Struthio camelus: one gene and its partners. The protein of the gene in region 1 interacts with the protein of each later gene in a pairwise test. Links are inferred from orthologs where the notes say so. Each region holds a gene or a part of one and is shown in the gene's direction. Other genes may lie near its edges. The genes, in order: ZNF410, TSGA10 and SERTA domain-containing protein 1-like.

Region 1 (9,690 bases):
TCTGTCCCTTCCTCCAGGTCACTGATGAATACGTTGAACAAGACTGGACCCAGGACTGACCCCTGGGGGACACCACTAGCCACAGGCCTCCAACTTGACTCTGCGCCATTCACCACAACCCTCTGAGCTCGGCCATCCAGCCAGTTCTCAAGCCACCTCACTGTCCACTCGTCTAGCCCACACTTCCTGAGCTTACCTAGGAGGACGGGATGGGAGACAGTGTCCAAAGCCTTGCTGAAGTCCAGGGAGACAACATCCACTGCTCTGCCCTCATCTACCCAGCCAGTCCTTCCGTCATAGAAGGCTATGAGCTTGGTCAAGCATGATTTCCCTTTGGTGAATCCATGCTGACTACTCCTGATCACCTTCTTGTCCTCCAGATGCTTAGTGAGGACCTCCAGGAGGAGCTGTTCCACCACCTTGCCAGGGATGGAGGTCAGGCTGACAGGCCTGTAGTTTCCTGGCTCCTCCTTCTTGCCCTTTTGGAAGAGTGGGGTGACATTGGCTTTCTTCCAGTCCTCAGGCACCTCTCCTGATCTCCAGGACCTTTCCAAGATGATGGAGAGTGGCCTAGCGATAACATCCGCCAGCTCCCTCAGCACTCTTGGGTGCATCCCATCAGGGCCCATACACCTTCCTATCTTTTTTTGCTAGCAGCTAGAGGAAAGGCTATACATTAGGATTTCACAGTTACACAAAGAAGGAACTCAGAAATTTCCTACTGCATGATCCGTAGCTGCTTATTAGCTCCTGTATACACTGAAACGACTCACGGAAAGTTTATCACCCTCCTACCTGCCATTAATTTAGAACTTAGTTCTACAAAATCAGTTTGCGAAGGCACAGATGACCAGGATTCCCCCAAGAGCCAGTAAGAAACAACTTGTTCCTCCAGATCCTATTACAACACTTTTCAATAGAAATATAACTAGAATACTAATAGCTAAACAATAATATACTTTTTCATTTTGCTGCATTTGCTGTCATAAAGGCAGCAGCTCAAACTTATTAGCCAATGGAAGAGCTACTTGGAGATCACTATAAGCATTAATGTAATATTTTTAAATTAAAGACATCGTTGAATTCTAGAGGTTGGCCAGACCCTCTTGGTTATTAAAGCAGCGCTTTGGAGCAATATGCTGTCAGTCACAAAACAAAGTTTGTGGTGACTTAAGCTCTACCACAAATATGAACCAGATCTAGAAAGTATCGTCTTGGATAACTGTCAGCAGCAATATTTGTCAGAATACTACTAGTGTTTTTTTAACTATTTGTCTGCACTTAGTTCAGTTCCTTAAATCCTTCCCGTCAGAATTAGCAAAGATTGCTCAGAAATATTTTTCAAGAGACTTAACGTGCAGATTTCTAAGCAAAGTCTGCAACTGTATATTGTACAGAAAGCAAATACTTTTAGTAGCAGAAATATACATCACCATCATCCTGTACAAAGCAAGTATCTAAAAGCTGCATTAATTTTTATGAGTAGTGTGACAAGTCTTGCCTTAGATCCTTCAGTACTATAAACCGCCAAGGAGTCTTCTGAAGAAGATTTTTTCTTGAAGGGTGGTGGTGATGTTGTTATTGTATTGTTTAATAGCAACTTTATAAGCCCGCAATAAGATTACATAGTTTAAGAACACCGCGCAGTTTTACAAAATTAGATTTCTTGTTAGCTCAGCTCTTAAGTGTAAGAGGGAAGTTCTTTCAATTTCTCTGCCAAATAGCCATAAGACCTGACAGGAGTTATGAAAGAATCATCCTGTTTTCAACTTAATTCCAAAAGGAATGCATTTACTCTGATTCAAGTCACTAGAGAGGTTCCAAAATAACGGAAAGAGTTTTTTTTAAGTTAAATGGCTATCCAATGTACAATGACATACTGCAAACATAACAAGGAATATTATATTCATCTGTAAGACAGGGATAATCACAGAAGCACGGAAGTAAAGGCTGGATTACAGTCTCATTCCACAGACCAGTGGTATAGCTGAAGAGAGTACAGGTGTCACCAGACAGACAAAAAGAAGCACCAGGTAGGGCACGCCTTCAGTTCAGAGACACGGTCACAACAAGAACCAAACTGCAATTTGGCATAGGTTAGTATTCCTTCCTACCTCATTTCAATCTTAAAACTCTACTCGTTAAACTAAAAACAAGTCTTCAATGGAGAAGTATGCAGAATAATCAGCTACTGGTAGTTACCTTGCAAGAAAAAAAAAGGTGGGGGGGAGCATCAAAAATAGACTAAAGCTTGTCTATTCAAGAGGAAAAAAGGAGTCTATGCAGAAAGTAATTTTGAATAGAATGTCAAGCGTTTAAAGTAAATTCTGCCCCCCCCCCCCCACTCTTCAATTGCTCATCAAAAAATGCCTACTGTAATAACCGGGTATTCTGTGTTCCCCAGTCATAAATTATTCATTTCAAAACAAAAGAGCAGAATGCAAATGATTTGAAGACAGAAAGAAAATACAGTAATGCAAAATCCTGTCAAAGCTGATAACTTTTTACCTGTATCTTACCACTAGAATTGTATTAATCTACTGGAGAATAGCTACTGGAGAATCAATTATTTCTACTAAGTATTGTACAATAGTCTTCAGCAGTGAAGTGCGTACAGAATCTGCAAAAATACCTTTAGAAAACAAGCATCTTCATACAAGTTTCTGAAAAGGTCATGAACAATGAATCTTTTTCAAAATAAAAAATATATTTAAAAGATTGTTTGCAATGCATTTAATTTTGACAGTCTCATACTGTAGTGATACAGAGGGAGTAAGAAACGTCTAGTTTGTCCAATGAAAAACCCAGGTAATAGTTTCTGGAGATTGTTCACTTAAAAATTCCACGTTCGCGTCACTGTATTTGCCTTGGATCTGATAAGTTACCAACACCACTTCACCATTTTTCACTTATGACACGAGTGGGATTCCCCACAAAAGCAACAGTTAAACAAAAGCTTCTTAAAGGCAGAGCAGCATTATGGAAAGGCTAACGAAGACAGACAATCACCATTCACGCACAGAGGATTCACACGGCAAAAAATAAATTATACACAAAAGTGAGCCTGGACCAATGACTAGTTTCCAGAAATACGGTTTGCAGCTCTCAATCATCACAGTTACACCACAGGATTGGCCTGCTAGGCACAGCACAGCAAAGGAACTGAAAGTGAGACCTCACACATCACATTTACATCCATCTAGAACAAACGAGGAATTACATTTAAAGGTCTTGCTTCTTTATTTTGAATTGTAGCAAGAGAAAAGCCTCAAACTACTCTCTAATCCCTCTGGAATCAAAGATGAGCGGGTGGCCATACCATGATGCAACTGCAGAGCTTTCCCAACAGCCATCCAGAAGTTCTAACTTGGTCTAAAGACACCCCAAAATATTTGCAGCCTATTTTCTAGATAGGTGGAACTGTATGCATGCAGAGGGGAAATAACATTAGCCATTTCCTATCCCGAAATCTGCATGGCTTTCCAAACGCATCATTACCTAACTGTAATAAATTCTTGCTTTCCTGTCTCAGGTGCTGCCTAAAGGCCATGTACTACGACGATCTCTGAACAGATTTAAAAAAAAAAAAAAAGGTCTTCACACGCACATAAGATAAAGAGCATGTAAGTGCTTTAATTCTAAAGAACTCCAACCTGAGGAAATTAAGTATCTTAGTCAAAATAAATCTGTGAAAGGGCAGGGCAGAAACACATCTTAAGTCCAAAGCACAGGAAAAAACTTATTTAAGTTTAATGTGCTTAAGACAATCCTAAATGAAGGTTTTGCAATAAATAAAAACTTTATCTTGTTTAAAGCCGAAGCAAATCTCAATTTACCAGGTAACACAAGAGCTGGCATGGAAACTCAGTCTTCAAACAGCAAGATCCCTCATGGCTGGAAACGTTAAGTATTTTAATAAGAGCCGTACTTCCTTCCTCTCCCTCCAGAAACACATCACCAATACTACAACCTTAACCCTCCCACTAATTTTTCCCAAGTTTCATTTTTCTCAGTCACACAGAACTGGGCCAAAGAGATCTCCTGTTTCACGCCAAATCCAAATTCCCAGTGTGAAGCGCTGCATCTGAGCTGCATTTCTCTTTCCTTAAAGGAGACAACGAAGCTTTCATAGTTTCGTTTATGGCTTGTGCAGCCTAGCTGCCTCCCAAATAAACTTCGGTACTTATATTCGCCTTAACGCTACGGAAAAGGGTAAGGAGGAGGTTACTTCCCACAGCACGGCCACGCTTCGGCTCGGACCGCAGCAGCTCAGCGAGTCACTTCTGCAGGCTCCGCTTGTTTTCTGAAGCCCCAGCAAGCCCCCGTCGGGGCAGAGACGAGCGCTGGACTCCCCCCGCCGCCGGCGGGTGGCCGCGGCGCCGGCCGCTGCCCCGCGCGGCCGCCGCCGCCTCCCCGCCGGCCGGGCAACGGCCGCCGCCGGCCCCGCGGCGGGAAATCCCCCTCAGCGGCGAGGGGCCGCCCCGCCCCCCGCCCGGCCCTACCTGTTGTTGCGGACGCTGCTCAGCACGCACAGCACCAGCTCCAGGTAGGTCCTCAGCAGGTCCAGCCAGCGCGGGCACAGCGGCGGCGGCGGCGCCTCCCCGTCGGCCGCCGCCGCGGCACCTTCGCCCGCCCCCCCGCCGCCGCCGCCGCCGCCGCTGGGGTAGTTGTCGGCGGCGAACTGGACGCGGAGCTCGCGCACGAACCAGCCGCACTTGCGCATGAGGAACTCGAGGCGCGGGCGCTCGGCCGGGGAGACGCGGAGGCTGAGGCGGAGGCGCGGCCAGAGGGCCGGGTAGAAGAGGCACTCCCGCCAGTGCGAGCAGGCGGCCGAGGCCCGCAGCCGGTCGGGCCCCGCCAGGAAGGAGAAGATGTGCACCACCAGCTCGCTGGGCAGGGAGCCGGCGCCCACCGCCTCCCCGCACACCGACATGCCTGGCGCCGGCCCGGGCCCTGCTGCTGCTGCTGCTGCGGCAGCCACAGGCGGCGGCGGCCCCGGCCTCGCCTCCGGCTCCTGCGACAAAAACAACAACATCAATGACAAGGCGGAGGGGGCGGGCGCCGGCCGGGACGCGGCTACTGCCGGGACGCACCACCCGCGCCGCCTCCGGGGGGGGACGAGAGGCGCAGCGGGCCCTACCCACCGCGCCGCGGCGGGACCCTACCACCGAGCCGGCAGGAGAGGGTGAGGTGAGCGCGCCCGCCGGCACCGATCTCGGTTCTCGCGGGGCGAGGCCGCCGCGCAGGGAGGCGGAGCCACCCCCGGCGGGGGGTGGAAGGGGAATGGAACATACCACCCGTTCGAATGGGAGGCGGAGCCGGACCAACCGCCTCGGCGGGGGGCGCGGCGCGGCGCGGCGCTAACCCCTCCAGGCCCGCTAGCGGGGCGCCGCCTCCCCCCGGCCCGCCCTGCGGCCGTGCAGCGCCGACGCCTCGATGAGGGGCCGCCGCCGCCCTCCGAGCCGAACGCGAATTGGCCGGGCTGGGCCGCCGCGCAGCGCGCCGCCAAGGCCGAGCGGCACCTGGCCGTCTCCGAGCGGCGCGGCGCCTGGCGGAGGAGCGCCTCAGAGCTGCCGGCGGCGGGAGAAACTTCCTTCCTCCTGCAGGCTGTGGCAGGGCGGGGGGGAAGGAAAAGGATTTCGATTCATGGCAGGCGCTGGTACTGCTGCCTGACCTCACGTTCCGATTTCAGCCAACAAAATTACCTCAACAGGATGCCAACCCTGACTGCAGAAAACACGCTGACTGTGCAGGAAATGCTAAGCATAGCGAAGAGTTGACTTGTGATGAAGGCTGGATATGAGCCTGCACTGATACGCTAGCAAGTGGTCCAGTGTCCTATTTTGAAATCTTACCCGTTTCTTAAAGCTTGCCGGCTTTGTAATGCCCATTCCGACATGACGTGCAGGAGCGGAAAGATACTTGTCTTGTGCAAACAGACTCAGAAAGATTTCAAAAATCTGGTAAGTATTCATTCTGCAAAGGCTGAACATCAAAGTGAATTTAATCTCAATTGTTCATATAAGCTTTATGAATTTACTTTAAAACTTTATTGAAATAAATAAAATCCAGTACTGTCTGTATGTTATTATAATACAAGAGTTTACATAATACTGTATATTTGTTCAGAAATGTACACACAAAACAAAAGATGTGCTAAGAGACATAAAGCCTGTTGGCATTCAGAATATGGCATCACATTATAAACAGACTTATGAACAGCCAGACATACAACATATCTCTCCATTCACTCCATCTTCCATCACTTTCCCTGTCTCGCAGTGTGTGTGGGGGGGAGAATAGTATCATTTTATTTCTTGAATCTGTTCACAGGGGAAATAAATTTGAACCTCCTGTTTCTCTTTTATTAGAGATAAGCATCCCAGAGCAGCAGAAAGTAACATTATGGGAAATTCCCAGCTGGACAATTCCTCTCTGGTCAGGGACAAGTGCTGTTTCACATGCTTGTGTGAATGATAAGAATCTGTATAAATGACTCAGGGAAGTACTGCGCAACTATTACTGCACATTTCCCTGTCAGATTAAGCCCTCAGGTCCTCAGGCAGTAAAGATGCAGGAGATGGAAAGTTCTGAAGCATCTGAACTCATCTGGCTGAATTAAGCAAATACAAGGAACTTAGTCTCCTACATAGTTCCATATTTTAATATGTGCCCAACAACCCTACGTTGCTGGGCTCATAATAAGTCAAAGGACTTCCAGGATTACCAAATATCTTTATCTTAATGTAATCTGTAATCAAGTTTTACAATTCATTACCTGAGATTACTGACGTGATATCAGGACAAAATGGTTTATGAAGCTACTAGTTCTGTGTTTCTGGTTACCTTTGTTAGATGATACTGGATCAGCAAATGTGGCATGCTGGGGTCATGCCTCTCATAAGACAGGCAGCTTGCATGGTCACGTACTCAGCTTCTTCAGCTTACTGAGGTTATGCTAAAAATTAAAGCTCAGTAGCTCATAACTTCAGTTTTGTAGACTTGAAGTGAATAAATGGGTCTGTTTCAAGCTTCAGGTCATCTCAGCTATAACTAAGTGTTCGATATTATAGTACCAGCCTTTGTGAGGTCTCTGACCCCATCCCTTTGCATGGCCACTATGATGCCAAGACAACCAAAGCTATAAGGCTGCCAATTGGGGATGCTGAATCAGTTTTCTCCACCACTGACATCAGAAACGTACTTTAGCTTGACTGAGAATTGATTTCAAGGTGCAGGCTTATGTGAGTACTAATGCAGTGACTGCAAACTCATGGTAAATATATAGAAAAAAAGATTAGCCAACTTGCTTGCAGACTTTTAGGAAGTTACTGCTCAATTCCACCAGATAGCTGGTCAAGGGTCTTTTTATTGAGGCAAAGTTCTTAGCCCTCCATGAGCTGAACAGTTAGACCTGAGGAGCAACCACTGTGGATCAGAACTGAGCTGTGCACACAACTGAGTCCCAAGTAACCAGGCTCTGCCCGCCTCAGCAGCTCCCACTGGCTGGTTTCCACACAGCTGGGGATTCTAATTACTCAGCAGCGCAGACGCCAACACAGGCCTGCCAGTGCTCATTCAGCGCAACTCTGGCACAGGAGCCAGGAATCGTGTGTTTCTAAAGCTACAGAATACCTATAGCCAAGTTAAAGTTTACTGGACATGAAGGTCACCAGTTCAGCAGCTAATGTCAAGACGAAAGGCAGTAAACAGCGCTGGTTCAGCAGCTCTATCCTGCTAGCCTAGATATATGAAGATAAGGCTAATGAGGGAAAAAATGAGGTACAGGCTTTGGCAATTATTCACTCAGCCCCTTCTTCTTTGTTAGGTGCATTGTTAAGACACGTTAGGTTTCTGAGTTTACCAACCTGATATGCTTCACTTAAGGAGCTGCTGTGAACTTAGGAGTTCTCCATGACCCACTGCAAGAAGTTCACTTATAATTTGGAGCACAACATAAATGCAAACTAAATACTAACGGGAAACTAGTGCTTTTGCATGTGCTGTAACAAGCTGAAATAATGTCTTTTGTGATGATTTATATCGAGAAAAGGTAAGTGCAGCACTTAACAGTTGAACTTGACTGCAAGCTTCCTACCTAATCTGCATCTGTAAAAAATCTGTCAACTCGAAAGGGTACTTTAAGATGAATCACGGAGTAAACACCGCAGCCCTGGTGCGGGTCCGAACGGAAGCGGCAGCTCGCTAGCGAGGACCCTACTTGGGAGAAAAAGCAGAGCGCCCAACTGCCGCTCCGTTGTCCTCCAGCGGCCAGGGAGGCGGCGCGGGAGGCGCTCCCGCAGCGCGGCGCTCAGGGCGCCACACACGCGCCCACTTACCGAGCCGACACCGGCCCTCCCGGGGCGGCCCGGCAGCCCAGGCGACACCTCCCCCCTCCCGAGGGCCCGGCGGCGGCGGCCGGAAGTGAGGGCAGCGGGGCGGAAGGGGCGCTCCTCGCCGCGCTTACCATAGAGCTGGAAGGGTGGGGCGAAACCCCCAGCCCTGGCATTTCCGGTTCGACACTGCGTCACATCCGGGAGGCTCTGAGATGCCGGTAAGAACCGCGGGGGGGGGCCGGGGCCGCCTCCCCGGGACTCGCCGCCCCCCTGCGGGGCACCGGGGCCGAGCAGGCTGCGGAGCGGGGGAAGGGCCGGCCTCCCGAGTGGGGAAGGGGCGATCTCCCGGGTGGGGAGGGGCCGTCCCGTCCCGTCCCTCGCGGCGGCGCACCGGCCGCGGGGGGGGGGAGGGGCGGCGCACCTGCCCCGGGGGGGGAGGGCCGCTGCCGGGCCGCCCCCCCCCCGCAGTCCTGGTCCGACCCGCGGCAGCGGGGCCGGTGCCCGCCGCCCCCCCCTCCCACCCCGCGGGGCCCTCCCCGTTGAGGCGCCGGGGAGCCGGACCTGCCGCCCCCGCAGCCTCGGCCCGCGGGGCGCCGCCATGCCGGGTGCAGACTGAGAGAGGGCGGCGGGCGAGCGAACGGGAGTATCCCCCAGCCGCGGTTTCTGTTTCCTAGTCTGATTTATTCTGTTCTCGCTGTGCTTACTCTGTTGTCGCTAGACGGCTGGCAGAGGGTGAGGTCCCTGTACTGAGCGTGTTGCTCAACCTGCTTGTTGGGAGTGCTAGGGGAAGGCTTTCAAGTTTAGGTTTTTTTTTTTCTTTGCTTATACAGTATTACCATTATGTTTTGGAATTGATTCAATAGGATTTGTGATTGTGATGCAAGGAGAACTGTAGTTTGCTTCCTTCTCCTGTCACTAGCCCTTTCCAAGTAAGCAAAAATGAGAGCAGACAAATTTATTTTTCTTTGTAGTCTAAAGAAGAAATGTATTATATAGGTAGCATGTGTGTATTTGTGAAATAACTTTTTAAAAAGAATTTATGTAAAAAGTACCTACCCAGCTGTGCTCGTGAAGAAACTTCTGACAATCAGAAAATAGGTGAACGTCTTAATACATAGGGAAGGCAGAGGTTTCTTCATGACAGGTTGTACGTATATGGGTGTCTTTCCTCAACAATTTGGATAATCCTGCTGCTTTACAGGCTGGGAATTCAGCCTCCTTGTCTCTTGCGCATTTCATGTAGTTTTAAGTTGATCCCATAACACTTTCCAGGACAAACAATTTTCATTAAAAATTACATATTGCAAAGGAAATGTGGAAAATAATCTTTGAATTTCACAGTGTTAGGATGTTA
Region 2 (9,586 bases), on another chromosome or scaffold:
ACTTACGAGTATTTTATTAATTTATTTTTATTACTACAGCTTTAGTAATACTTTTTAATTGATTTGATTTAAAAAGGGGGGGGGGGGAGGGGGCAGCAGGTAGGCTCGAGCTTCGTTGGCCAGCGGGCAGCCGGGCAGGTGCGGGGCTTGCTGGCCCCGGGGCCTGCAGCGCGCCCCGAGGGCTTGGGCAAGCGCTGCGGGCGTTACGGCGCCAGCCGTCTCCTTGCCGGCACGGGGGGGAGGAGGGGAGTCTCCGTGACTCCCCGCGGCAGCAGGCAGCGCCCCCCGAATCGCTACTCACGCGGCGGACGGGCGAGGCGGCCGCGAGCGCGTCCGTTACAGCCGTCGGGCGTCCCTCAGCGCCGAGCGCGCTCCTCAACGTCTTCCGGGTTGTCCCGGTCACGGGCGCGGGAAGGGCGGAAGGAAAAGCGGGTGGCACCGGCTGGGGCGGGGGGCTGCGGCGGGCTGCGCGACGGCGCGGCGGGCGGGGAGGGAATCCCGTGCGCCCGTGGCGGCCGGGGCAGCCGTCTCGGAGGAGGGGAGCGGCGCCGGGCCCGAGTAAGCGGTGCCCCGGCGCTGGGCGAGGCGCCTGCGGCTCCTGCCCCGCAGGGCGCGGGGCGGCCGGGACGGCAAGAGTGACCCGCTGCCTTGCACTGCGACACGGCGTGAGCTAGGGCTCTGCAGCCTGGTTTAAACAAAGAAACTCCCAAGGGGGGGACTGTGGCAGAGGGTTCTGCAATTGTACGTGGCATCGAAGGAGGTAGGTAGGTGTTGGTCTTCACTGCCTCTCTCAACGCAGTAACTGCGGATTATCAGGTTATGCCAGCAGGAGGCAGGTTCACAACAGATAAAAGCAGATGGTTCTTTGCGCTGGACCCCGCGGCGATGCAGTCTCTTGCCACAGGATGTTGCGGGTGCTAGAGGCATCCATAAGTTCACCCTAAGTTCAAAGGGAGACTTGAACGCGTTCTCACAAATGCACTGAGGCCTGTCAAGTACGTAAAAGGCATCCAGGGAGATACAGAAAGTAAATGTTGATGGCATAATTGGTGAATGAGCTGGAAACGAACAAAGGCGAGATAATTAAAGACATATTGCAGACGACAGATTGTCTTCAGATTTGTATTGATTTAAGCCATTCGTAAAGTCTCCCAGACCTTAGCCTAAACTGTTCTTCCAGAGCTGTTGTCCGTATTTGATTTACCCAGTAGGCCTATTCTCAGTACTACTGATTAAAATTTTTGTCGGTATCCATATGGGCAAAACTGTGCTGCACACCTCCAGGTGGTGTATACGTATTCACAAAGGAGGTATTGCGTGCTTTTGTGTCATTTCCTTTCAACGCTAGAGTCCTAAGACATGAAGGAATTGTAGAGGAGAAAGGTTGGGGCACTGGGTCATGAGAATTCACACAGGTGATTCCTCTTGAAGACCGGTTACAGACAAGTAATCTTTCTTCTTTCTACTTCTAGAAATAGGTGACTTGGGAAAAAACACTACGTTCATGTTTTTGTTCGGATGAAACAGTGAAATCATTTGAGGAAGCAGTTGAGTTGGGGTATGTAATTGGGTATTCATATGGTGACTTTACCAATAAAGAAAACTTTATAATGGAGCCCAAATTGCCTGTACTGTCTAATTGAAGTAACAATACTAGAACAGCTGTCTTTGCTGAAAGGTAAAGGAGAAAAAAGCAGACAAAGGGTGACAGGCTTTCAAGATTAAAGATACAAGCTTGAAGTTATTTCCTGCCAGAGAACTGGATCCTTAAGAGCGAGAACTTTCCTTACCAAACTCCTAAAAGAAGTGCATAGGTGTAGTAGGGTGAGATAAAGAACCCATTATCACATAAGTGCAGTGTTTATAAAGACAGCCAAATGGACCTTTACTGATGCACTGAGAGGTCCAGCTTCAGCCAATTATCTACAGTATGGGCAAAGAAGAAGAGATCATCTTTCACAAACACAATGCCGAGACTCTAGCTCATTTAGTGGTATAGGGTTGCATGATAAATTCTTTCTAGTGCTGACTAAAATATTTTTCATTTAGGGGGTGGCAAATACTTTGTAGATCCAGAAGACATCTAAAATTCATGCTCTGACCTGGAGAGCTCACAGTAAGGATATCTAAAACCGAAGGCAGCTGTTTTGGTTGTGGGGGATTCTGAAATCAGTTGTGCCTTGGCTGGTACGGGTTGACAAGATGATTCTTGCCCTGTCACACCTTGCTTCTGAAGAGTAGTCATAATTGGTAGTGTAGAGAAGCACTCATCAACCTTGACAACAGGATTAAAAAAGCATCTAACAGAGCCTAGCCTCGAGCAGAAGGACTGGCATTTTCTGTTGAAAGCAGCAGCAGAAGGGTATTCCATCTAGAACACTGGTCAGATCCATGCACTGCAGTGAAGTATTAAATATCCCTTGAGAAATCTGGCGTCGCACTAGATGACACACGGGTGAATGAACCTTCCAAGCCACAACTGAATGTCTTACATGTACATCCTTGTTTTTGGCATGGCATAAATACTCGCTTCGGATGCAGCATGGTGAGGCAGACTTACAGAGATGTTGGTCTAATAATTTTACCAGCACTTTTAACAATGTCACAAAGTTATACTGTAAGAAATATGCTCTAGTCACATGAGGTCCAGTGTACTATTTATGAACTCAGATTAGATGGGATTTGGGCTTCTTCAAGTGCAAAGAGTATGGATATCTTAAGGATAAAATCCATAAGATCCACAGTGTGTTTCACTGCGTTGGTACCTCTTCTGGATACATCCTTTAAAAACAAATGTCAGAGGTGGGTAAGTCCCCATACTCTTCTTCAATTAGAATGTAATTAGGATACATAGCCCCAGTCAAAACATGGAAGCAAGCATCTTGATGTGAACTTTCTCTGTAGCAAGAAAGTCATTAATACTAGAGTTGCTGTTAGGAACTTGAATTTGTGAATAGATATGTCCAGTGTAATTTCAGAATGGGTCTTCAGTTCCAGAAAACAACAGCTATAAGGAATGCTTCAGGGCAGCAAATTGAGGCCAAGAGGTCAACAGCTGCATGTTGAAAGCAGCCAGTAAGATCATGATGCCCTGATGTGTCGGTGATGGTTAGTGGGTTTTCTTAAAAAAGAAGTAGTTGTTTTGAGCCATTCAAAACGGGCATAACTTGTCAGTAAATCAGGCTGGTGGCAATTCAACTTTGCACTGGGGTGAATTACTCTATAATGCATAGGGCAAAAAGCACTTGGACATTGTCTATACAAATACTTCCCTTTTAGTGCTCAGAATATTGGGAAATCAGTATTTGAGGCAGGTAGCAGAATGCAAAAATGAGCCTGGATCCATTCATGCTGTCAGAGGAAGTGAAATGCATCTTGTGGGACTTTTGATGTTACTAAAAAAGAAAATGCCAGAGCATTTGTTTACATTTTGGCACTTAACTTTTGGAAATTTGCAGTATGTTGTTTTCCATTTTGCCATGAGGTGTCACTAAAAAGCATACTCTCAGCTGTCATACTCCTTGTTTCTCAAGTTGAGAACTGTGGGCCTAACCATGGAATTCTTTCACTTAATTAGAACTAGAATTTGCTAAAACGTAAAGTGTGCAGGACATTAGCTGAACATTTAAAAATGTCCTGGACCTGTTTCTCATATGCTGAAGGATAAAATGCACATGCATTAACAAATACTGTTCCTGAAAAAGTAGGTATTGTTGAGGACCAACCCAGCAAAATAAAGTATTTTAGCAATAAACAGAAAGTACAAATTTGTGAACAGGAACAGAAAGAGTATAAGGAAGGAAGAAATCTCCATGCTTGAGTTTTTAATCTCTAAGAAGAATATTTTATTTCAGAATATTATCCAAATACCTTAAAATAAACAATGGGAAGTTAACGTAGGATGCTGTAGGAATTCAGTGTATGTGGTAACATGTTGCCAGAGAACTACATAATAGGAAACGTTTATCGATGTTAAAATTGCATTATAGATTGCCAAATAATAGGTCTTGAAATAGAAAGTCTATTAGATTATATTATTAGACTTACTAGTTTGGTGCATAAAAAGCAACACAACTGTTTTGCTAACAGCATTAGCCAGCGTTAATGTTTACAAGAGAATTCACCATACATCACTTAGAGAAAAACACAGAAATACCAAACAAAACTAACTAAACATACATAATTTCACTCCTAAAATTATTTTTAATGAGGAAGAGTTTGGGTAAGGTTATGAAAATCTGAAATGCTATCTTTCTTTCAGAGATAAATATTAGATAATGCAGAGTCTTCTCTCGATGATTTCCAGCGTACCAAGGTCAGAAAGTAAGACCTGTAAGGAATACAAGATGCGAAGAGGACTGTTTCTGTTGCTGTTTTCTGGAAGTTCAAACCTTCCAATTTCTTCCCTGTCTTTGGGTGGGTCCTATTTCAAAGGTATTACTATCCCTTTTTCTCCAAAAAGGTATGAGCTCTTTCTGTGAATACTTCCTGATGGCAGCTTGCCTAAAATTTAGGCGCTGTCTCCAGAATATAAAATCTGTGCTAGTACGTCATAGGTAAGGGAGAACATTTTCTTCCAGCCTATCAGCTTGACTTTGAGACCGTCTTTGAGTCTCTTTCAAGGACTCTTATGTTTATAACCATTGCAGACAGGAGCAGGTAATAGGAGTCATAGGATTCAAACAGCCTCCTTATCCTTGTCACTTCGCTTTCTTTAAAGGCGCCAGAGCCTTTATTCATTCCCGTCTGCGCTATTCCAAGAAGAGATGTGCTAGAGGTGTTGTAAAGTAGAACTCCTGTCTTGGGGTATAAGAGAACATAAGAAATCATTTCTTTCATAAGATTCTGTTAGTGAGATAAAGAATAAACATGATTAGCCTTGTAATGCCTTAACATTCCAACTTTGCAGTGTTGGTATACGAGTTAATAAATTAGTCTTAGCACCAAGTATCCTAAAAGCAGCAATGAGCTGCGTCTGAGATTTTATCATACGTGCAAAGCTAATGCTTGACGACATCATGACATAGGTGTAATGTTAAAGATAGCAATAGTTTATTCTGGACCATACAACTGGTATATATATCTTACAAATACCTATGAGATGGGTTCTGGAGAGAAGATTTAATTAAAGGAAGGCTGTTTTCAGAAGATCAGTCTTTCCTACCTAAGGCTTTTCTGTTCCTTTCTGCCCCCTTCCAACCCTTTCCGTTGTTTCTTGCCCCTTTTCTACGCGCTCTGTCAAAGCTGTGCTCTCCCCCTTCCTTTGGGAATGAGCCCGTGAGGCCGGACCAGCGGGGCCGCACTGCTCCCCCCCCCCCCGGCCTCGCGGGGGAGCAGGCGGCACCGTTGCTACGGCCCTGGCCCGGCCCGGCCTGGCTCTCTGGGGGCCGTTAACGGCGGGCGAGGGCGCGCGCGTGTCGGGGCGGGGGGGAGGGGGCACAGAACGCCCGCGCGCGCGGCCGCCGGCGGCGGGCTGCCAGGAGCGGTTGGGCGAGCGCGCGGCAGCCCGCGGCGCGGGGCGCGACCGTTGGGCAGCGACGCCTCTCCTTCCCCTCCCCCTCCCCGCCCCCCCTTGCCCTTCCCCGCCCCCGCCCGTGGCCAGCAGGGACGAGGCAGCTTGGGCGCGCGCGGCGGGTGAGTGCCCGGTGCCGGCCGGCCGGCCGGGCAGGGCGGTGGGAGCCGCGGGTGCCTCGCCCGTCCCGGGCAGCCGCCATGAGCGCCCGGCGGTCCCCAGGGCGCCGGAGGAGGAGCGTGGAGGGTCGCCGCAAGGTAGAGACCCGGTGGGGCTGGCCTCGGGAAACGCTCCTGCAGGCCTGCCCCTGACCCTCCGTCCGTCCCTCCTCTCGCGAGGGCGAGAGGCACCGCCGGTTTTTACACCGGATAGGGCCGCAACGCTGGGGACGAAAACCTCAGCAGGTAGTTTATAAGGCAGCGAAGTGGAGGCCGCCTGAGAGTCAGAGGGTCTTAACTGCCGTGGTGATGGCAGATTGAACCGCCAAGTAACAAGACGAGAGGGCTGGGAGGAGCGTTGTTTCGTTTTCTGTGTTTTCTTAGAGACACAGTTTGGTTGGTTTTCAGATGATCGCACTTTTTGGGTTTTTTTTTTTTTTTTTGCAAGTGTTTGTTTGATATTTAATTGTAGGCATGTATATATGCTTGTCTTTGCACACTCAGTGTTGTACTGGCAAAATGCACAATTTTTCAATGAAAAATCAGAATTCATTGGTCCCGAGTAAAAATCACATGCTCACCATGTTGCTACATATATCGCTTTTTAATACGTTTATACATACACACATACTTTGTTTTTAAAGGAAATAGTATGTTTTGCAGTATACAAGCAGCATTCTTTAAGGCATTGTGAAAACTACTGTTGTTTTTATAGGATCAGCCAGGTTCATTTTGCAGTATTTAATAGTACTCTGGGGAACAAACAGGAGGAGTTAGAGGTTGGCATGCAGTTACAAACGAGGCTATGATCTCAGTGGGATCACAGAGATATGGTGGGATAGCTCACATGACTATAGGGCTGCAATGGATGGATACAGGCTCTTTAGGAAGGATGGGCCAGGACAGTGGGGAGGGGGAGTTGTCCTTTATGAGGGAACAGCTGGATTGCATGGAGCTCTGCCTAGGGATGGATGACGTGCCAGTTGAGAGCTTATCAGTGAGGATTAGCAGGCAGACCAGCACAGGTGATGTTGTGGGTGTCTGCCACAGACCACCTGGTCAGGAAGAAGTAGATGAAGACTTCTTCAGACACTGGAGGAAGCCTCATATTCACAGGCCCTGGGCCTCATAAGGGACTTTCACTACCCTAATATCTGCTGGAGGGACAACACAGCAAGGCACAAGCAATTCAGGAGGTTTCTGGAGTGCACTGGTGACAACTTCTTGACACAAGTGATCAAGGAGTTGATGAGAGGAGGTGCTCTGCTGGATCTGATCCTTGCAAAAAAGGGAAAAACCAGTTGGAGATGGAGGTTGGGGAGGAATTTAGGGACACTGTCCAAGCATGCAGGGATGGGGTTAGGAAAGCCAAAGGCCATCTGGAGTTGAGTCTGACGAGGGACATGAAGGGCAACAAGAAAGGCTTATGTGGGTATCTCAGCAGCAAAAAGAAGACTAGGGAAAATGAGGGCCCACTCCTGAATGGGGTGGAAGACCTCATGACAAAGGACAGAAAAGGCCGAGGTACTCAATGCCGCTTTTGCCTCAGTCTTTACTGGTAAATCCTGCATTGGGGAATCCTGTGTCCCTGAGACCACTGGGAAAGCCTCGTTCAAGGAAGACTTGCCCTTGGTGGAGGAGGATCAGATTAGGGAACAATTAAACAATCTGAATGTTTGCAAGTCCAAGGGACCTGATGAGATGCACGTTCAAGTGCTGAGGGAGCTGGCCAATGCCATTGTAAGGCCCTTCTCAATTATCTTTGAAAGGTCACAGCAGTCATAGGAGGTTCCTAAGAATGGGAAGAAAGCACATCACTCTTGCCTGCAGGAAGGAGGATCAAGGGAACAACAGGCTGGACAGCCTCACCTTGATCTCTGGGAAGGTGATGGAGCAAATACTCCTGGAAACCATTTTGAAACATACTAAGGACAATATTGGGAGAAGTCAGCAGGGATTTATGAAGGGAAATCATGCTTGACCAACCTGATAGTCTTCTATGATGAGATAACTGGCTTGATGGATGAGGGGAGAGCAGTAGATGTTTGTTTATCCTGACTTCTGTAGGGCTTTCAACACTATCTCGCATAACATCCTTAAAGACAAACTGAGGAAGTACAAGCTAGATAAATGGATCGTGAGGCGGACTGAAAACTAGCTGAACTGCTGGGATTGGCTCTGAGGGTTGTAATCCAGCTGGAGGCCAGTCACTAGTGGTGTACCACAGGGGTCAATACTGGAGCCAGTACTGTTTAACGTTTTCATTAATGACATGGATGATGGGACAAAGTGCATTCTCAGCATGAGGCAGATTATACAAAACTGGGAGAAGTGGTTGACACACCAGATGGGTGTGCTGCCATTCAGAGGGACCTTGACAGGTATCTCATCAAGTTCAACAAAGGGAAAGGCCAAGTCCTGCACCTGGAGAGGAATAACCCCATGCACCAATACATGCTGGGGCCAACTAGCTGGAAAGCAGCTTTGTAGAGAAGGACTGGGGAGTCCTGGTGGACAAGTTGAACGTGAGCCAGCAATGCGCCCTTGCGGCAAAGAATGCCAACAGCATCTTGGGTTGCACTGAGAAGGGTGTAGACGGTAGCTTGAGGGAGGCGGTTGTTCCCATTTATTCCTCACTGGTGAGACTACATGTGGAGTACTGTTGTCCAGGTCTGGGCTCTCCAGCACAAGAAGGACATGAGCATACTGGAGCAAGTCCAGCAAAGAGCCATGAAGCTGATTAAGGGACTGGAGCGTCTGTCGTACAAAGAGAGGCTGAAAGAGCTGGGATTGTTTAGCCTGGAGAAGAGAAGGCTCAGGGGCATCTCATCAATGGGTATAAATATCTGATGGGAGGGTATAAAGAAGGTGGAACCAGACTCTTTTCAGTGGTGTCCCGTGACAGGACAGGAGGCAGTGGGTACAAACTAAAACACAGGAAATTCCATCTGGACACAAGAAAACACTTCACTGTGAGGGTGGCTGAACCCTGGAACAGGTTGCGCGGAGAGGTTGTAGAGTCTCCATGCTTGGAGATTCTCCAAAGCCAATTTGATATGGACTTGGGCAACCTGCTGTAGGTGACCCTGCTTGAGCAGGGGGGTTGGACCAGATGATCTCCAGAGGTCCCTTGCAGCCTCCACTACTCTGTGATTCTGTATTGACCAATAGACCTATTGTATATGTTCAGTCTCTGTTGCAAGTGATTCTGAATTTAAAAAGTGAATGATTCAGGTTTGGGATTTTTTTTTTTTTCGAGTCTGTGGTTGGATCCCATGAGTTTTGTCACTGACTTTAGTGATTTTCTGTCTAATAAATGTTAATGTACTAGAAAATACTGTCACATTCACTTTTGTGATGTTTTTTGTGTCTCTTTTGTTTGAACATGGTATGTCATACAAGTGCAGTCCTTTGCGATCCCTGATAAAATCCTATTAAATTTACCTGAGGCAGGATTATGCCTCTGAAATTCAAAGTGCTTTGGATTTTTTTTTTTTTTTGCTGCTTCTTTAAGGATAGGTTTTCTACTCATTTTCTATGTAGTATTTTAGAGGACGAGGTTTGGGTGAACCAACATTTGAAATGAATTTTAAAAATGTTTGTCCACGTTATATGGTATGATTGAATAGTACGTGCTTTATCATCCTCTTTTTGGATTCTGGGATCTAACTACATTGTTTGACACGGTTGATCAGAAGCATAGCAAACATTTCCTGCCCTGGAAAGCCCAAGTTTTCAAATATTTGTATGCAGTGAAAATTATGTTATAGTACATCGAAAGCCAAGCACTTCTGTACGCTTATAAGATCATTGCATGTATTTAATATGCTGCAATCCACATTCACATAATTTGGGGCTGTAGTCAATTCTCAGTCTTATTTTCCAGTGGTAATTTTTTTTTTTTAAATGATTGCTG
Region 3 (10,270 bases), on another chromosome or scaffold:
GCCGCCCCCCAGAGCAGCAGCATCCGTCCCTGCCGGCGGTCACCTTGAGGGACCCCGCGGGCCGCCCGGGGCCTGCTGCCCGCCGCACCGGGGCCGCCGCGGCCGCGCGCTCCGGGGCCCCCCGGCCGCAGGGCTCGACCGGGAGCGGCGCCGGGGCAGCCCCCGCCCAGGCCCCGCCGGCACGTCCGCGCCCGCCGCCCGCCGCCCCGGGGCGGGCAGGGGAGGGGAGGGGGCCCGGCGGCGCGGCTGCGGGGCCGGGGCCGCATCCCGGCGGCGGGGCTGGGACCGGGGCCGGGACCGGGGCCGGGGCCGGGGCCGGGGCCGGGGCCGGGACTCACCGTGCCGGCGGGCGCGGCGCGTTGCGCTGCGCTACCGGGGCCGCCGCGGCGCCGCCCGGGCCCGGCTGGCTCTGCGCACCGGAGCGCGCCGCGGCTCGGCCCCGCCGCCGCCCCGGCAGCCAATCCCGCCGCCGCGCAGGACGCCGGGGGTCGGCCCAGCCCCCGCCCCGCCGCCGGGGCTGCGCCGGGGCCCCCCCAGCCCCGGGCAGCAAGGAGCCGGCCACCGCCGGGTCCCCAGCGGCGACGCGCCCGGGCGGCAAGGAGGCGGCTGGGCGACCGGCCCCCCGCTGCAAACCGGGGCTGGGGGCTGCCGCCCCCCGGGCTCGGCTCGCCCTGCCCTCGGCCGTGCAAACCCCGGGGGTGCCCGGACGGCGATGCACGCACCGGGGATGCAGAGGCCGGGGCTGCACGTACCGCGGTTCACGCACCGGGAGTGCCAGGACCGCGAGTGTACGTACCGGGGCTGCAGTTACCGGGAGTGCACGAACCGGGGTGCACGGAGTGGGGTGCACGTCCCGGGGGTGCAGATCCCAGGGGTGCATTTACCGGCGGTGTACGTACCGGGAGTACACGTACCGGGAGTGCATATACCAGGGGTGCCCGGACTGGCGTGCAAGGACCGGCGTGCAAACCCCGGGGGTGCCCGGACCGGGGTGCACGTCCCGGGGGTGCAAGTCCCAAGGGTGCATTTACCGGCGGTGCACGCACCGGGAGCGAACGTACCGGGCTGCGCGCAGCGGGGGTGCATTTGCCGGCAGTGCAAATCGCGGCGGTGCACCTATCGGGGTGCACCCACCGGGGGGGGCGGCGCTCGGCGGCTCCCCCCGCGCACGGCTCGGCCCGGCGCCCCGCAGCCCGGAGCAGCGGGGCCGGGCGCGGCGAGGGGCCGGTCCGCCGGCGGCCGGCCCCGTGGGTGGAGCGAAGCGGAGGCCCCGCTCCGGTTGCAGCGAGGCGGCGGCACAGCCCGGCCGGCGGGGACACAGCACCCGCGGCCGCTCCGCTCTGCTCCCACCATGGCCACTTGCAAGAACATCGCCATCTTCGGTGCCACCGGCATGACCGGGCTGGCCACGCTGGCACAGGCGCTGGACGCGGGTAAGGGGGGCCGGGGCGCGTGCCCGGTGCGGGGGGTCTGCGCTGCACCCCGCTCGCCCTCCCGAAATCCCCCTCCACCGCCCGCCAAGGCCCCAGCTGCAGCTGCCGCAGCGCAGGCGAGTTCGGCAACGGGAGGCCGGTGGGCGACAGGGGGGTCCCAGGCAGGCCGAGCTCTGCCCTGGGCTCCCGAGGGCACGGTGGTCCCTGCCTCCAGGGCTGGGCACTGTGGGAGCCCCCCGGGGCAGAGCCCGGCCCGCAGGGCCCTGGTGCGCACGGGGTGTCTGTGCCCGCCGCCAGGCCCTGCTGCCCTCGCGCGTGTTGCACATGCAGCCTCTCGGCCAGGAGCCTGGGCCAGGCGGCAGGTGGGAGCCCGCGATAAGGCCGGGCTGGCGTTATCGGGCCGGGCAGCCCCTCGCCGGGGCCGTGCACCCGGCTCTGCCCTCGCCGTCCCCCCCGGCCGGCCCTGCCAGGCTCCGAGCCCAGCAGGAGCTCAGCTCGCTCCGGTCCCCCAGCCCGTGCACGAGGCTGGTGCGCCGAGTCTCCTGCCTCTGCCGGGCCGTGCCGGGCTCAGCACCTGCCCCTCGCAGCCCGGTGTCACCAGGGTGCTTAGCTGGATCCCCAGCTCTGGCACTGGGCACTGCAGGTCGGTCCGTGGGAACCGTGTGCCTCTGAGGCCTGGCCGGGAGCTGGGCAAAGCTGAGAGCCATCCGGGGCAGGCAGAGCCCCTTGGGGACGGACAGACAGAGAGAGCCCTTTAGGGACAGACAGAGCCCCTTGGGGACAGACAGAGCCTGTCTGGGGCAGGCAGAGCCCCTTGGGGACAGACAGAGCCTGTTAGGGACAGACAGAGCCCATCCAGGATGGGCAGAGCCCCCGGGAACCTGCTCGGCCAAAGACCGTCACAGACAGCGTCACGGCAGCCCCACACAGCCCCCGTTTCTGGAGACAATGCTCAGCTCTGTGCAGGAGTTGAGTCCCGGGAAACTCAGCGCAGGTGCCGGCGTGACTGCACCGGCACGGCCCTGCCCCGTGTCCTGCCCCCAAGCGCTTCCCTGCGGGAAGGGGACGGGCTCCGACCTGCTCTCCTCAGCCCCAGGGTGGCTGCGTTTTGGTGCCCCCCCCCGCCCCCCCCCCGCTCCGCAGCAATGTGGAAGAGGGTTTGGGGCCCTGCGTCCTGGGTGCAGGTGGAAGCGCCCGGAGAGGTGCTGGCCGAGGACTCCTGGGCCCTGGGTTGTGCGCCAGGACGCCTGGGCCCTCCTCCCTGCCCGGCCCGTGACCGGGCACGTGAGCTGGGGCCAAACGCTTCCCCTCCGGGCGCCTCGTTTCCCCCTGCGCCAGGAGGAGGATGGGGAAGTGCCGGCCAAGGGTGACCCACAGGCCGGCTCGGGGCGGCGGAGGCTCCGCACCCCCCGGCCCGTCGCCGAGCCGGCGCCCAGGGCAGGCGCCCGCCGCGCGCGGTGCTGAGTCACGCCTGGCCAGAGCTGACTCATCATCCCGCGGCCGGGCCGGGGAGGTGGACACCTCCGCGGGAGCGCTCGGCCCCTCGGCGCCCTCCGCCGCCCCCCAGGGCCTCGGGCCCCCCCAGCACCCCGCACCCTGCCTTGGCACCGGCCTCGTCCCCTGCAGCGGCGCAGCTCGGGGCGCGGGTGCCCCCGGGCACGGAGCCCAGGCGTCCGGGCTGCCGGCCGCTCGCCCACCGGCGCCGTCTCGCGCGCAGGGTACGAGGTGACGGTGCTGGTGCGGGACCCGGCACGGCTGCCCCCCGAGCACCGGCCGGCCCGCGTGGTCGTGGGCGACGTGCTCAACCCCGCCGACGTGGACAAGGCCGTGCAGGGCCAGGACGCCGTCATCATCATCCTGGGCACCCGCAACGACCTGAGTACGGTGACCCCCCGGGGGGGCCCTGCCACCCTGGGCACCCTGCAAACCTGTCCCCCCAGGGCACCCCCTACCCTGCAACCCCGTGACCCTGGGGACCCCCCACACTGTGACCCCATGACCCCAGGGGAACCCCCACCCTGTGACCCCATCACCCTGGGGACCCTGCACCCTGCACCCTGTGAATCCATCACCCTAGGGACACCCCCACCCTGCAACCCCATGGCCCTGGGGGAACCCTCACCTTGCACCCTGCCACCCTCAGCACCCTGCACTCTGCAACCCCATTGCCCTGGGGGACCCCCCCGACCCTGCAACCCCATCATCCTGGGCACTGTGCACCCTGCAACCCCATTGCCCTGGGGGACCCCCCTCCCTGCGACCCTGTCATCCTGGGGACCCCCCCACCCTGCGACCCCATCACCCTGGGCCCCCTGCAGCATGTCAGCCTTGGGACCCTGCACCCTGCAACCCCATTGCCCTGGGCACCCTGCAGCATGTCACCATGGGCACCCCCCACCCTGCAACCCCATTGCCCTGGGGGACCCCCCTCCCTGCGACCCCGTCACCCTGGGGACCCCCCCACCCTGCAGCATGTGAGCCTTGGGACCCTGCACCCTGCAACCCCATTGCCCTGGGGACCCTGCACCCTGCGACCCCGTCACCCTGGGGACCCCCCCACCCTGCAGCCCCACTGCCCCGGGAGACCCAAGCAGCTCCCGAATGCCTCCGCCTGCCCCCCGACACCCGCTCTGCACCCAGGCCCCACCACCATGATGTCCGAGGGCACCAAGAACATCGTGGCGGCCATGAAGGCCCACGGCATTAGGAAGGTGGTCGTGTGCCTGTCGGGTAAGGAGGCTGGGGGGGGCGTCCCCAACCTGGGGGACCCGGATCGGGGAGAAGGAGCCCAGACGTCCAGGTGCTCCCCCATGACGTCTGGGTGGGGGGGCCGGGACGCCGGGATGCTTGCCGGGGTGCTGAGCCCCCGCCTCGCCCCCAGCCTTCCTGATGTGGGACCTGCAGAAGGTGCCCCCCAAGCTGCTGCCGGTGACGGAGGACCACATCCGCATGCACCGCATCCTGCAGGAGTCGGGGCTGGACTGCGTCTCCGTGATGCCGCCGCACATCGCCGGTGCGTGGGGGCGTTGCCGCCGGGGTTGGGGACCGGGCGATTTGGGGGAGATGCTCCGGGATAAACGAGCATCCGGTCCCTTCTCCCGCTGCAGACGACCAGCCGCTGACGGGGGATTACACGGTGACGGTGAACACGTCCGGCGGCTCCCGCGTCATCTCCAAGCACGACCTCGGCCACTTCTTCCTGCAGTGCCTCACCACCTCCGAGTACGACGGCAAGAACGTCTACCTGTCCCGGCACTACCCCAAGGTCTAGGGCGCCCGGCGCGGCGCCTCCCCACCGGGCATCGCTGCCCGGCGCCCACCGGCTTCCCCGGCCCCTGCCACCTCCCTGCGCCGACTAAAGAGCCGCTATTTTTCTGACCGAGCCTGGCCTGACCCTCTGTTAACGCCAGGCTGCGCAGAGCGGGTCGGGCTCAGGGCCGGAGCCGTGCCGGGGTGCTGGATGCGGTGCTGGGGCTCTGCCCCCTGCAGCACCCGTGTCACCCCGTCGGCGTCGGCCGGCATCGCCGTGAGCATCCTCGCTGGCACCTGGTGAGCCCCGTCCGCCCCTCGGGGCTGCCCGGCGCGGGCCGGCCGTCTCCGGGGCGTGCGCCCCAGCGCGGTGAACCGCCTCCTGCCCCATGAGTCAGCCCCGATGCCGATGCCGCGCCGGCTGCGGCCCCGGCAGGACGGGTTGGGCCTGTCGGAGCGGTGCAGGAAAACGCCCCGGTGCCGGTGCCATCCCTCCCCTCCGGCTTCCTGCAGCCAGGCGAGAGGGGCACGCGTCCGCCGGCCTCACGGTGCTGCGTCGCTGCGTTTTGCACCGCCAGCCCTGTGTCGCTGCGTTTTGCACCACCGGCCCCGTGGTGCTGCGTCGCTGCGTTTTGCACCGCGGCGCTGGGGCCTGCCTGCCGCTGACCCTTGGACCCGCCGGGGGCGGTTTGCAGCCGCGACCGCCAGGGCGGAGATAACCTGGCCCGGCCCCGGGGCAACGACAGGCAGCGGGTGCGCGAGTGCCTGGGGCCGGCGCGTGCGTGCACCCCTGCCAGGGCACTCGTCCCAGGGAGGTCACGTCCTTCACCACCCTCCGCTCGGCCCCGGGCCCGTCCCTCTGGCCGTGAACAAGCTGCAGGCTGCAGGGGCGGCCATGCAGCGCGCTCCGCACCCGGCGCCGGAGGTCCCGGTCCAGCCGGGGCAGCTCCCCGGAGGCTAGCAGTACGGGAGCCGGGTGCAGCGGGAGCGGGGCCCGGGGACCCCACAAGCCAGCGGGCTGACAGGCAGTTTCACTTCTGAGCGGCAGTGGTGCTGTTTCGTTTTCCTCTTAAGTCATCTGGGCTCTTAGCCTTCCCCCGGCTCCTGCAGGCTGGAGCACTGCCCACACAGCTGCGCTGCTGCCCCAGGGGCCAGGACGGGGCAGGGGCAGGGGCAGGGGCAGGGCCGGGTGGATTCCCATGGGGGCAGGAAAGGGGCGTGGGGCTGGGTGGGCCCCTGCGGGGCCACGAAGAGATGCACCGGGGCCACAGGCTAGGCCAGGTGCATTTGCCTCCTGCTGCTGCTGCTTTGGGGTGGGAACGGCCAGCTGGGGGGGCTGGTGCCCGGGCTGGGGGGGCCGGGGGGGCTAAGAGCAGGCCCGGCCCCCGCCCGCCCCGGCTGAGCACCCGCAAACTCATCGCACGCGGCCGCCCGCGCCTCCCCCGCCCCCGGGCTGAGTCGCTCACGTCCGCTCTCCGTATGCAGATGAGGCCCGCGCGCCTCAGCCAATCAGGCGCGAGCCCAGCCGGGCCTCCCCCGCCCCGGCCGCGACGTTGGTCCCCGCTTCCGCCCCGCTCTTCTTGTATGCAGATGAGCCTCCCTTCCTCCGTCGCTGATTGGCCGAGCGGCTCCCGGCCCCGCCCCGACAGCCTCCGGGGCGTGGCCTGCGCCGGGCGGGCAGATGTAGCAACTCTCGGGTGGCCGAGTCGGCTGGCGGAGACGGCGAGGGGAGGGGGAGGGGGGCGGGGGATGCCGGCTCCTGATTGGCTGCGCGCAGCGTTCCAGACCCCGCTGATTGGCCCCTGAGGAGCCGGGTATGTAAATGAGGGTCCCCGGGGGTCCCCGCGCGCCGGGTCTGGGGCGCGCGCTGGTCGGGGGGGCCCGGCGAGCGGGCGGCGGAGGGTCCGGCCATGGGCGCCCGGCCGCGGTGACTCACCGGGGAAGGGGCGGAGGCTCCGGGCCGCCGCTGCGTGACTCACCCGCCCCCACGGCTGCCTCTGCCCGCGGGACGGGGACGGGGGGGGCGGCACCGGGGGCTGCACGCCGGCCCGGCGCCCCGGTGCGGTGCGGCGCGGCGCGGCGCGGCGCGGCGGGGCCGGGCTTCCCCCGTGCAATGGTACGGCGAAGGGTGGGGGGCGCCGCCGGGCTCGGGGGCGAGGGACCCCTTCGCAAGCGGGAGTGCCCGCGGTTTGCAAGGGAGAGGGTGGCTGGTTGTTAGGAGGGGTCGTGCGTTTGCAAGGGGGAATCCCCAGGTTGCAAAGGGGGGGGGGCTTTCCCTGGCGTGTTTAGGGGTCCCCGGTTTGCCGGGGGGGTGCATGGCAGGGGGTCCCCAGTTTGCCTGAGAGGGGATCCCTGGTCTGCATGGGGATTGTCTCTGGTTTGCCACAGGGGTCCCCGATCTGCATGGGGGGGGGAATCCCCACTTTGCATGGGGGTCGTCCCCAGTTTGCTGCAGGGGTCCCCGGTTTGCATGGGGGGGAATCCCTGGATTGCATGGTGGAGGGTCCCCGGGTTTGCTCTTGGGGTCCCCAGTTTGCTGTCAGGGTCCCTGGTCTGCATGGGGGGAAATCCCCAGGTCGCAGGAGCTGTCCCTGTTTTCCCTGGATTTCCCGGTTTGCAGGGTGGGTGCGAAGCAGCGGGTGCCCGGCCAGCTGAGCTGCCCCCTTCCAACAGCTGGTGCCGGGGCAAGGGCAGCGGGTTTGGGGCAGGGGCCGTGCTCCCCCTAGGCACTCAGTGGGGGGGCAGGAGCGAAGATGCCATCCTGCAGACACCCCCTGTGCCCGGGGAGCTTTCAGGGGGCAGCGGCACCCTGGGGGGCTGCACCAGGACCCGTCGGGGCTCTCTGGCCGTTGGCAACCTGGAACACATCCCCATCCTCGCTGGGGAGCCCCAAAGGGGCGTGCGGGGCTGTGCCGGCGGCAGGATGCTTGCGGAGCCGGTGCCACGGTGACGGTCGCCCTGGGGCTGCCTGGTCTCCTCCCGGCTGACGAGGACGGGGGTCCCTGCCCGGGGACGCGATCAAGGGGTTCCCGGGCCGTGGGACCACAGCTGTGTCCCCTCCCCGGCAGGCGGCTCCTTCCCGTCCCTGGGGAGCAGCTTTGCGCTTTCGGGGGGGGTATTGGGGCAGCAGGGTGCATGGGAAGGTGACGGGGTGGGTGAGGCTGGGACGCCCCTGGCCGGGTGTCCCCAGGCCTCCACAGAGACGGGGGGGGACCCTGTGTCGTCCCCGCAGCGGACCTGGGCGTCCTGGCCCTTCGGGGTCGGCGTCCCAGCTTTGCAGCCCTCCAGCCCAGGGCTGGGGTGCAGGTGACCTGGGCCCCTGCCGGGGACCTGGCTGGGCCCGGACGCCTGGGCCCTCTCCTGGGGCTGGCCGGCGCTGGCTGCCCGCTCACTCGGCTCGTGGTGACTAAGGCGCCCGCACGGAGGGGGTGGTGGTGTCACCAAGACAACTGCCGTCTGCGTGCAGCGCCAAGCGCCGTGGGAACGGCGAAAAGCCGCTTTTCTGCTGCCGAAAAGCACCCTCATCCCCCCCCCTAGCGCGGCCGATGCCCCTCCGCCCCGGCCATGCCGACCCTCTCCGGCGCCCTCCCGGGGGCCCCGGCGTCCGGGCCGGCCGCGCTGACCCCCTGCCCGCTTTGCTCCCGCAGACCCATGCTGGCCAAGGGTGTGAAGCGGAAGCACGGCGAGATGGAGGACGGGCAGCTGGCGGCCCCCGCTGCGGCCCCGGCCCCCGCCGCCCCCTCCGACTCCCTCTTCAACATCTCCGTGCTGAAGCTGCACCAGAGCCTGCGGCACGTGGAGCCCAACCTGCGCTACCTCGTCCTGGTGGCCAACACCCTCCGGCGCCTCCAGGACCACGCACCGGCGGAGACCCAGGGGCCGGTGCCCCCCGGCCGCCCCCCGGCCGGCCCCGAGCCCCCGGCCGGCCCCGGCGCCGCCTCTCCGGACCGCAGGGACGCCCGGTGCCCGGCGCCCGAGGACGAGCTGCTGCTCTCCGGCTGGGACGCTTCGCTCTGCGCCTCCCTCTCGGGCGGGCTGGAGGGCGCCGAGACACCCGGCGGCACCCCGGGCCCCCCCGCGCCGCCCCAGGACGACGCGCCGCCCGACGTCCCGCGGCCCCCGCACCCCTTCTTCGCCCCCCTGGAGCTGCTCGGCTCCACCGGCTCGCTGCTGGAGGACAGCCTGGAGGGCATCTTCGAGGACATCGACACCTCCATGTACGACTGCGACGTCTGGTCCCCCGCCAGCCTGGCCGGCTTCAAAGCCTTCTCCGGGGCGGACGAGGAGGGCCAGGACGGGGGTCGCCTGGACATGGACGACTTGGACTACCTGATGGACGTGCTGGTGGGCACCCACGCCCTCTGAGGGGCCCCCGTTTTAACTTATTCTGGACTCGGGCCGGGCACCGCGCGGCGCGGGTGCCGCCAGCCCGCAGCGTGCACCGGGACGATGCACCGTGCGTGGCACCAGCCCAGCGCGCTGCACCGCTGCGGAGCCGGGGCTGCGATCCTGCCTCCTCCCGGGGGGCCGGGACCCCTGGCTGCAGCCCTGCGATGCTGGGGAGAGGCTGGGGGCTGCTCTGTGTGGTGACGGGCTCCCTGCGTGGTGCCGGGCTGCTTCATGCAGTTCTGGGCTGCTCGGCGCGGTTCTAGGCTCCCTGTGCGGTTCCAGGCTGCCCCACGTGGTTCTGGGCTGCTCCGTGCGGTGCCGGGCTGCTCGTGGGCGCAGAGCTGCAGGAGCCGCTGGCTCGGCCGGAGCCGAGGGACGGTTCAAGCAAGCAGGTTTGGGGGGCGGCGTCGCCCCTGCCCGGGGCAGTGGGTTGGGGACCTGCAGGGCAGTGGGGGCCCCGCGGGGACGTCGGCTGGGCGCGCTGCCGCGAACTGTGCGCTGCTTGGAAACGAGGATAATATATACCCGACCGGCGCCTGGCTGCCTCCTGCGACCGTGCACCGCCGCGGGGCCCGCTCTCCTGGCCCCCAGCTGAGTCCGGATGCAGGGAGGTGCTGCGGGATGCAGGGGGGTGCATGGGATGCGGGGATGTCCCGCGGGATGCAGGGGGGTGCGTGGGATGCAGGGATGTCCCATGGGATGTGGGGATGTCCTGTGGGATGCAGCGAGGTGCTGCGGGATGCGGGGATGTCCCATGGGATGCAGGGACATCCTGCAGGATGTGGGGATGTCTGATGGGACACAGGGAGGTGCTGTGGGATGCAGGGACGTCTCGTGGGATGTGGGGAGGTGCTGCGGGATGCAGGGATGTCCCACGGGATGCCGGGAGGTGCTGCAGGACACGGGGACGTCTCGCAGGATGAGGGGACATGCCATGGCACAGCCCAATTCCTGGACCCATAGCGCTGTCCCCATCCCTGCATGGGGGTGGAGGGTGATGCCCGGACACCTGGGCCCCCTGCCCTAGGGGACGCCGCCGCCGGGGTGCCGCGGGCTCGGCTCCGGCCAGGCGGCAGCGGGACGGGAAGTGATTCAGGCCGGCGGCAGCCTGCGGAGCCGAGCCCGGCTTCCTGGGCTGAGTCAGCCGCTCCGGCGCGGCTCGGCCGGGCGCCGCGCGGGGCCCGGGGACGATGCCCTGT

Evidence for each region.
Region 2: the proteins of ZNF410 (region 1) and TSGA10 interact in binary tests that used the Homo sapiens proteins (3 or more experiments, as listed by UniProt). The two-hybrid records come from large-scale screens. The link is inferred for Struthio camelus from reciprocal best matches to the Homo sapiens genes ZNF410 and TSGA10.
Region 3: the proteins of ZNF410 (region 1) and SERTA domain-containing protein 1-like interact in binary tests that used the Homo sapiens proteins (3 or more experiments, as listed by UniProt). The two-hybrid records come from large-scale screens. The link is inferred for Struthio camelus from reciprocal best matches to the Homo sapiens genes ZNF410 and SERTAD1.

Annotation. Positions count from the first base shown.
Region 1 is NC_090946.1:57,211,239-57,220,928, forward strand, and holds the start of ZNF410 (zinc finger protein 410), read left to right. Parts: upstream 1-5,334; 5' UTR 5,335-5,963; intron 5,964-8,435; exon of another isoform or gene 8,436-8,554; intron 8,555-9,690. Other genes in the region: FBXO33 (F-box only protein 33), read right to left, coding at 4,503-4,933. UniProt on the Homo sapiens protein: Transcription factor that binds to the sequence motif 5'-CATCCCATAATA-3', and is specifically required to silence expression of fetal hemoglobin in adult erythroid cells.
Region 2 is NC_090942.1:151,239,942-151,249,527, reverse strand, and holds the start of TSGA10 (testis-specific gene 10 protein), read left to right. Parts: upstream 1-5,571; 5' UTR 5,572-5,634; intron 5,635-9,586. UniProt on the Homo sapiens protein: Plays a role in spermatogenesis. When overexpressed, prevents nuclear localization of HIF1A.
Region 3 is NC_090957.1:421,292-431,561, forward strand, and holds SERTA domain-containing protein 1-like, read left to right. Parts: upstream 1-6,339; 5' UTR 6,340-6,496; intron 6,497-8,329; 5' UTR 8,330-8,333; coding exon 8,334-9,047; 3' UTR 9,048-9,605; downstream 9,606-10,270. Other genes in the region: BLVRB (flavin reductase (NADPH)), read left to right, coding at 1,352-1,433, 3,151-3,312, 4,074-4,163, 4,315-4,446, 4,541-4,704. UniProt on the Homo sapiens protein: Acts at E2F-responsive promoters as coregulator to integrate signals provided by PHD- and/or bromodomain-containing transcription factors. Stimulates E2F1/TFDP1 transcriptional activity.